2 linked regions of the Caenorhabditis elegans genome follow. Each later gene encodes a partner of the first gene's protein in a complex. Each region holds a gene or a part of one and is shown in the gene's direction. Other genes may lie near its edges.

Region 1 (3,927 bases):
TCAGGCGCAAATTTAGAGTAATTTAAAAGTATTTCCCTGAAAAGTTCAAAAATATTCTTTTTTTTCAGTAACAACTCCTGCTGCTCCGGCTCAAGAATCTACAGAAAGTTCCGCCGCTCAAAAACGTGAATTCCTGCCTGAACACGACGAGGATGAAGCCCAGGATCCGAAAAGACCACGTCTTGAATGATTTTTTTTTCTAAAATTAATATTTGATTTTCTAAAAATGATCTCCCTTTTTTTTTAAACGATTATATATTGTTAACCCGTTCCATTTTATTGAAAAAGTTTGACTTTTTTATTCAATAAATTTTTGTTTTTTTTTTAAAATTAGATCAACCCCTGAAATTTGCAGTTTGCAGGAATTAAAAAAGAGGTGATTTTGCAAGTGTGTGTCGATTTACGACAGAATTTTGTACTACACGTGGACAAGCGCGAAAGATTTTTTCGTCGGCAAATTGCCGATTTGTCGGAAATTTTCGATTCCCGCGAATTGCCGATTTGCCAGAAATTTTCAATTCCGGCAGTTTGCAGATTTGCCGGATCATTACAGTTCCGGCAAATTCCCGTTTTGCCGGAAGTTTTCAATTCCGGCAATTTGCCAATTTGCCAGAAATTTTCAATTCCGGCAAATTGCCGATTTGCCGGAAATTTTCATTATCGGAAAATTGCCGATTTGCCGGAAATTTTTGATTCCAGCGAATTGCCGTTTTGCCGATTTGCCGTAAATGTTCAATTCCGACAATTTGCCGATTTGTCGGAAGTTTTCAATTCCGGCAATTTGCCAATTTGCCGGAAGTTTTCAATTCCGGCAGTTTGCTGATTAGCCAGAAATTTTCAATTCCGGCAACTTGCCAATTTGCTGGAAATTTTCAATTCCGGCAAATTGCGTATTTGCCGGAAATTTTCATTTTCGGCAAATTGCCGATTTGCCGCAAATTTGCTGATTTGCCAGGAATTTTCAATTCCGGCAATTTGCCGATTTGCCGGAAATTTTCATTTTCGGAAAATTGCCGACTTGCCGGAAATTTTTGATTCCAGCGAATTGCCGTTTTGCCGATTTGCCGTAAATGTTCAATTCCGACAATTTGCCGATTTGTCGGAAATTTTCGATTCCCGCGAATTGCCGATTTGCCAGAAATTTTCAATTCTGGCAGTTTGCAGATTTGCCGGATCATTACAGTTCCGGCAAATTCCCGTTTTGCCAGAAATTTTCAATTCCGGCAGTTTGCAGATTTGCCGGAAATTTTCAATTCCTGTTTTTTTAAATTATTTTTTGAATTTTGGTGGTCACCAAGTTTGTAGTATAGCTTTTAGATGACATACGTCTCATGTGAAATTAAAAAAAAAAACGGCAAATTCGGCAAATTTGCCCAGCTTGGTAATTTCGGCAAATTTGCCGCAGTGCACTGTTTTTTAGACTCGGTCATTATGGCCCATTTCCTAAGCAAATACCTACTACAATCTTTTTCAAACACCTCGCTTCTCACCCGTCACCCCAATGAGCCACCTGACCCCTCTCCAGCTCATGTTGCCATAGTAACTCGACAACACCAGCGACTCGGCGGTTCCTAGTTCTCCATTTATTGAAATCTTGGATTTTCTGCTCACATTTCTCTCAGCTTCCACTGTAAAAAATGCAAAATTATTCGAGAACTGATTTCGCTCAAGTCGGCACTACTAATCGGGGTTGCATGCGTGTTATTCCGTCGGATAAGGAGAAAGAACACGATTTGGTAAGGGTTTTTTTAAATACTTTAAGCATGTATCAGATATATACACGGGCTTCTAGCCTTCCTCTTTGAATTTTTCGCGCTCCATTGACAATCACCCCCGCCGCACAACGTGTACTCCACACGGACAAATACATATAGTTTTACAATCGAGCCGCGACGCGACACGCAACGCGCCGTAAATCTACCCCAGATATGGCCTGGCTTAGTTAGGCAAACTCTTCCATTTAAATTTATGAGGGAGGCCAGAGATACGTGAAAGTTAAAAAAAACCAATTTGATGTTTGCAGATAGTAGTCGGTGGACAGAACGGAAGCTTAATCTGTTTATCGAGAAAATCGAATGACACCACGGTGAGTAAATTTTTTATGATTTTTTCCAGACAGTTTCAGATTTTTCTGGTGGAGTACACATGCTATGTAGTTTTCTAAAACAGGCGTGGGAAACAAATGCCGTTCGGCAAATCGGCAAATTGCCGGTTTGCCGATTTGCCGGATATCAATTTCCCGGAAGATTTTAGAGGGATAAGACGGAAACACTTAAAATTGTGCCTTTTTTAAAGTTTTTTCGGTTTTCTTTAGACATTTTCATATGTAGAATTTGCTTATTTTTCAAAATAGATGTAGAAACATTCATAGGATGCGTACAATTTTGCCCTTTACAACTGAAATTCTGAAATTTCCAAAAAAGAAAAAATCGGCAAGTCGGCAAATTGCCGGTATATCGGTTCTACCCAGTTTCTACCCATTGTCGCACATTTTCGTACTTCTAGCAATTTTTGTACTTTTTACGAAAATATTCGGGAAATGCACGAAGCGATTTGCCGAGATATGCCGAACTTGCCGGAAATTTGAAAAATGGCAATTTGCCGACTTTGCTGTTTGCCAAAAAAGCTCAATTTTGGCTACTTGTCGATTTGCCGGAACTTTTAAATTCCGAAACTTTGCCCGTTTGAAGAGATGCTGGGAATTTTCAATTCCGGCAAATTTCCGAATTTCCGATTTTTGCCGGATTTTAATTTAAAAATTTCCAGATAATATTCAAAACTCAACCAGGATACCCTGTTCAATCGTTGGCTCTCGGTGGCCCGGCATCGTCGAAAAAAAAGGATAAAATCTTTGTCGCATCACAAAATACGGTTCGAGGAGTCAATCGAAAAGGAAAAACATTTTTTTCGATGGAAACTAATATGGCTGAAGTTGCGAATCGAATGTTCGTACGTGGATTGGATGTGGTTTTGACTGGACGAAAAAGTTACAGTAGATATCATGACACGGTGGATTCGAATGTAGGTTTTTGCACCACCCGTTGGTCATAACCAGATTTTGTTTCTGTTGATGAAAAATAACATTATTTTTTTTTGAATTTTTTAAAACAATATTTCGGAAATTCGAATAATAGAAAAACGAAAATGTTTCAACATTTTCCAACACCCTTTTTGGTGTGTAGCAAATTTTAACGTTTGCCGTGCTCGCCAAGTTCGGCAAATTTGGCAAATTTGCCGCGCACCTCTGGTGCACATCGCTAAACTAACTGTGGTTAAGCTCTTTACCATTCAAATTTGAGTTTAATATTTAACTTAAAAAAGAAAAATTGATCTCCAAGCATTGAACAACTGCCCTTTTTTTAGAATATAATAGTTTCGAATATTTCCAGAAAAATAATTTTTTTCTGCCCAAATTTTTGCCCAAAAGATGACAGAAAAATGAAAATGGGCAAAAATAAAAAGTTGTCTAAATTTGTTTAAAAAAAGTAATTTATATATGGAGAATTCAGAAAATCTAGGTTTAACCCGTCAAAAATCATTAGAAAGTGGCAAAAATGGACAATTTACGGCAAAAAACGCAATTTTGAAACTAATCTAAAATGGTTAATTTTGTAGTTAGAGGACTCAAAATTGATCTCCGAACGCTAAAAAATTGCCCTTTTTCAGAATATAGTGGTTTTGTACATTTCCAGAAAAATCTTTTTTTTTGCCCAAATTTTTGCCCAAAAGATGGCAGAAAAATGAAAATGGGCAAAAATAAAAAGTTGTCTAAATTTGTTGAAAACGGGTAATTCATATACGTAGAATTCAGAAAAACTAGGTTCAACCCATCAAAAACTAATAAAAAGTGGCAAAAATGACAATTTATGGCAAAAAATGACAATTTTGAAAGTCCTCTAAAATGGTTATTTTTGTAGTTAGAGGACT
Region 2 (3,927 bases), on another chromosome or scaffold:
TTCATGTCAGTTTGCTCGGCATTATTCACCGTTGTTGCTCTACAATTCCACTTTTCAAATGCCGAACGATTTCTTCGCACCGCAAAATCACCGGCATCGGCATATCGAGGAGTAATCGATGTCATTCGGGATGTCATCGCCTCATTCGACGTGGCAATCGTGATTCTGTCGATTCTGGCATTCTTTGTGTCTGCTCTTCAATTACTATTCCTGATGAAGATAGTAAAACAGACACAACAACCGGATGATATTGATGTGTTAGTGCTTTTCAAAAGTTTCACATTAAATAGCTTGAACATTTTAACATTACAGGGCACTTCGATACATCAAATCAACCAGCTTTTTAAGAATTGTGGCATTCTCGTTTTGGTTCGCATCAATAATAGTCTTCGTGATCGGTGAGTTTCTTAAATACTATTCATACGCGATTATAAAAATTCAAAAGAATGAATTCGCTAGAATACAAGAAACAACTCTGCAATTCTAATATTTTCAGTGCTAATGCTCACAGTCTCAATTGACCCATCGCGAAGTTTGGCCTCAAAATGTGTATCGATTACTTTAGGATCTTCCGCCGTCTTTCTTGCCACTTGCTTCGCCGTGAAAACCCTCTATTTCTGGGCAAATCATTCTTGTGGGCACGTCTACCGCGAGGATTGTTACAATTACCTAAGCACACTGGTCTGAATGTATTATTTTTATAGCTTGTTATTCTACCCACTTCTATATTGAGCTTTTTCATCACGCAAAGTTTCTCAAAATTGACACCAATGATCTGATTTATTTCATACACATAAGACTAATAATGAATTCTTATTGAAATCCTGATTAATGGATCTTTTTTAGTTCATTACTAATACAAGGCTTATGTTCATGAATTCGAGGGAAAACTAAAAGAAAACAGAACAAAAATGACGGAGCAGACATAAATCAAGATGCGGATAAATAGTAGTAACATACATAAGAGATATCTATTTTGTGTTTTGCAATATTTATAAATATTGTTTTTTTTTAATTTTAGTAAAAAAGTTTGAGAAGCAAGTGAGAAAGTATATTTTCAGAAGAGTAAAAAAAAACAAAGATTTGCAAGAGAAAAAAACGTTTTCAAAATTGTGTTCTGAATGCCTTTGGACGCGTCGCGGTGGCGCTGCGTGTTCTTCCAGCATGGCATTTTTTCCAAAGAAGAAACACGTTTGCATTTGTTCGTCGCCCATTTTTATTCGTACATTCCGTACAAATTTTATCAGTTTCTGATAGATTTAATATTGTACAATGAGAATTTCCTATTTTTATTTGGCATTTCGCAAGTTAAATCATTTAAAAACAGCTTTTTGTAGAGAAAAATACTGAAAACTACAGTATACTCAATTTTTTGTGTTCTTCAAATTAAATTTGTTTCATTTATTTTTATTATTTTCAGGTGTTAGCTAGCAAAAATGGTTGAGCTTGGAGGAAAAGGGCCATACTCGACATCGTTCGATAACTCTGTCTTCATCATCCCCGCAATCGTTATTGTAGCCGTTTTCGGTGAGTATATTAAAACTAAAAATAACAACGAATCTCGCAATAATTTACAATCTTCAATAGTCAAATCTTTTTGGTCGGGCTATTTGTTAAGACCAACATAATTTTTGAGTACTGTAGGTCTAACATGTTTTCCTTTTTTTGAAGATAGGCTAAGTTCCATTAAAAAAACATGCTTCTACCGTATTCAAATTGATAAAAACAATTCACACATCCATCAAGCAGTTGATAGAAACATAATGTTTTCAGCCTACGCCGTTATCAAGCTCCGTGACACCACTTTGGCTAAGGATAACAAAAGCACGGCTCGTCAACGCCGTGAGGAGAAGAAGAAGGCCAAGTAAATGTACAAAAACAGGACTACATCCAAAGTTCACATTCCAAAGACAACTCGACATACAATTTAACAATTTATACTTCGATTTCCATTTGGGTTTTTTTGTATTTATTTAAAAGTTTTATTTGATATTAATAACGTTTTCTAATGTAAAAATAAAATTGATGAACGGATCTTGTTTCTCCATTCTCTACACGCTGCTCCATATGGTTTCCATGACAACACGCGCACAGCAGTGAGCAGGTGAACATCGACTCTATTGCTTACTCTAGGGCACGCTTCAGTCAAAAATGTCGCTTTTTCGGCTCGTCGAATGGGTTTCACAAACAATTCCTAATACGTCAACTATATTGAACGCTTCATTTTTTCAAGATAGAGGTACTTTTTTCAAGATGTCAAGGTCTCCAGTTCGATGTCATGGTTGTGCAATTTTTTTTGTTGAAAAAAAAAACGAATCTCAATTTTGCTCCACTGAGTATATAGTTTTCGACGTTAAAATAGTAACATCAGTAGGATTTTTCCAAAATGCACTCAAAATTAATTTTTGGTCAAAAATTTGGCACATTGCCAAATTATTGAAAAGTTGGTTTTTCTTTAATTTAGAGAATTCTTAAATATTCCAAGCTTGAAAATGTTTGAATATAAATAATTAAAACAAATAGAATGATGAACTTGTGGAACATTTTTAATTTTGGTCGGTTTCCAAAATCATGATAGGTGAAAACTGACCATTCTTTTTTTGACTAAATATAAAATTTTTCAAATATTTGGAAAATTTTCACAATGATATTTGGTCATCTTATTACTATCGAAAGGCTCTAAACGATTCCCCCGTCATTATTCCAGAGCAACTTGTTATTGGAGGAGAAAACGGTCAAATTACGATCTCAGATCCAGGATTCAGGGATACCAATGTGACTTTTAAAAGTCGAAAGATTGCAAAAAATGTGGTAATTTCAGGCGCATGTACTGTGTACAACTGAAACTAAATATGCTATACTCCAAATGGCATCTGATAACTTTCTACCTTCAATGAATAATATTCTTGCCGTCTTATCACCAACAAAGTTAACCTATTACAAAGTTCATTTTGGTAAGTTATGTATCTATTCAGCTGTTATTTATCATACAGAGTGGCTCATAATTATGACAAACAGATGTGGTATCATAAAAACTGTTTTTTTGCAAACTAGGTCAACTCCAAGATATTCCTGATCCAACATTACATTAATAATTGAATACATCTTTCTAATTCGTTAATATAAAACACGTTTTGATAAATCGAACTATGAAATCTATTTTGACAGGCTCCATATTTTTGAGTCTTTTCATTTTGAAACCGATAGTTGTTGATACATGTTTATTTAACTTCAAAGAGAGATAAATACAATATTTGATTCGGATTGTCTTAATAAATACGGGTCATCCTGTAATATACAAAAAATAATAGGCTCAAGTACGAAACAAGGCTGTGCGGCTGGTAAAAAAATTCGGCTGTCGGCTGATGCCGACAGCCGACAGCCGCACAGCCCTGGTACGAAATGGTTAAAATTTCAGCAAGTCCTGATGAAACCCTCGCATCACTTGATGAGATATTCTCTCATTCTTTTTCAACATCTGCATGGAATATGTGTGTAATACCAATTGAAGAATCAACTCCACAGATATTAGTGCAATCAATTGATTGTAAATTATCTTTGTTTCAAGGAGATCAATGTGTTTTTTCAATGGTTCCATTGAGAGCTCTTCAACCAGGACCAATCGGTTACTGTCAGACTACACAAACTCTTTTTGTTGCAAATAATGGATTCTTAGCTGCTATCAAATTCAGTCTTATGTCAAGTGGATCGCAGAAAAAGATTAATGTAAGCTGTGGACTATTGAATATTTTTCGAATGTCCAATATCATCGGGAAACTAAAAAGTATTGAGTTAATTACAAATAATAAACCCAAGCTGTCGAATTTTGATAACGCTGAACATTTTTTCAAATATGCTGACTTTACACTGACAGTAAATTTGAGTCTTCTTTTTTTCAGTATGACTGGTCTTTTAATCTGGGTGATA

What was found.
Region 2: osm-12 (region 1) and bbs-9 share a complex: the UniProt entries of both Caenorhabditis elegans proteins name them as parts of the BBSome complex.

What each region holds. Positions count from the first base shown.
Region 1 is NC_003281.10:12,200,161-12,204,087, reverse strand, and holds the start of osm-12 (BBSome complex member bbs-7), read left to right. Parts: upstream 1-1,550; 5' UTR 1,551-1,637; coding exon 1,638-1,736; intron 1,737-2,023; coding exon 2,024-2,086; intron 2,087-2,766; coding exon 2,767-3,021; intron 3,022-3,927. Other genes in the region: Y75B8A.13 (titin), read left to right, coding at 69-190. UniProt on the Caenorhabditis elegans protein: Component of the BBSome complex. The BBSome complex is thought to function as a coat complex required for sorting of specific membrane proteins to the primary cilia.
Region 2 is NC_003279.8:6,921,180-6,925,106, reverse strand, and holds the start of bbs-9 (Protein pthb1 homolog), read left to right. Parts: upstream 1-2,133; 5' UTR 2,134-2,151; coding exon 2,152-2,239; intron 2,240-2,707; coding exon 2,708-2,775; intron 2,776-2,821; coding exon 2,822-2,954; intron 2,955-3,418; coding exon 3,419-3,726; intron 3,727-3,899; coding exon 3,900-3,927. Other genes in the region: C48B6.9 (uncharacterized protein), read left to right, coding at 1-257, 313-398, 497-687; C48B6.10 (Small integral membrane protein 15), read left to right, coding at 1,437-1,527, 1,774-1,868. UniProt on the Caenorhabditis elegans protein: Component of the BBSome complex. The BBSome complex is thought to function as a coat complex required for sorting of specific membrane proteins to the primary cilia.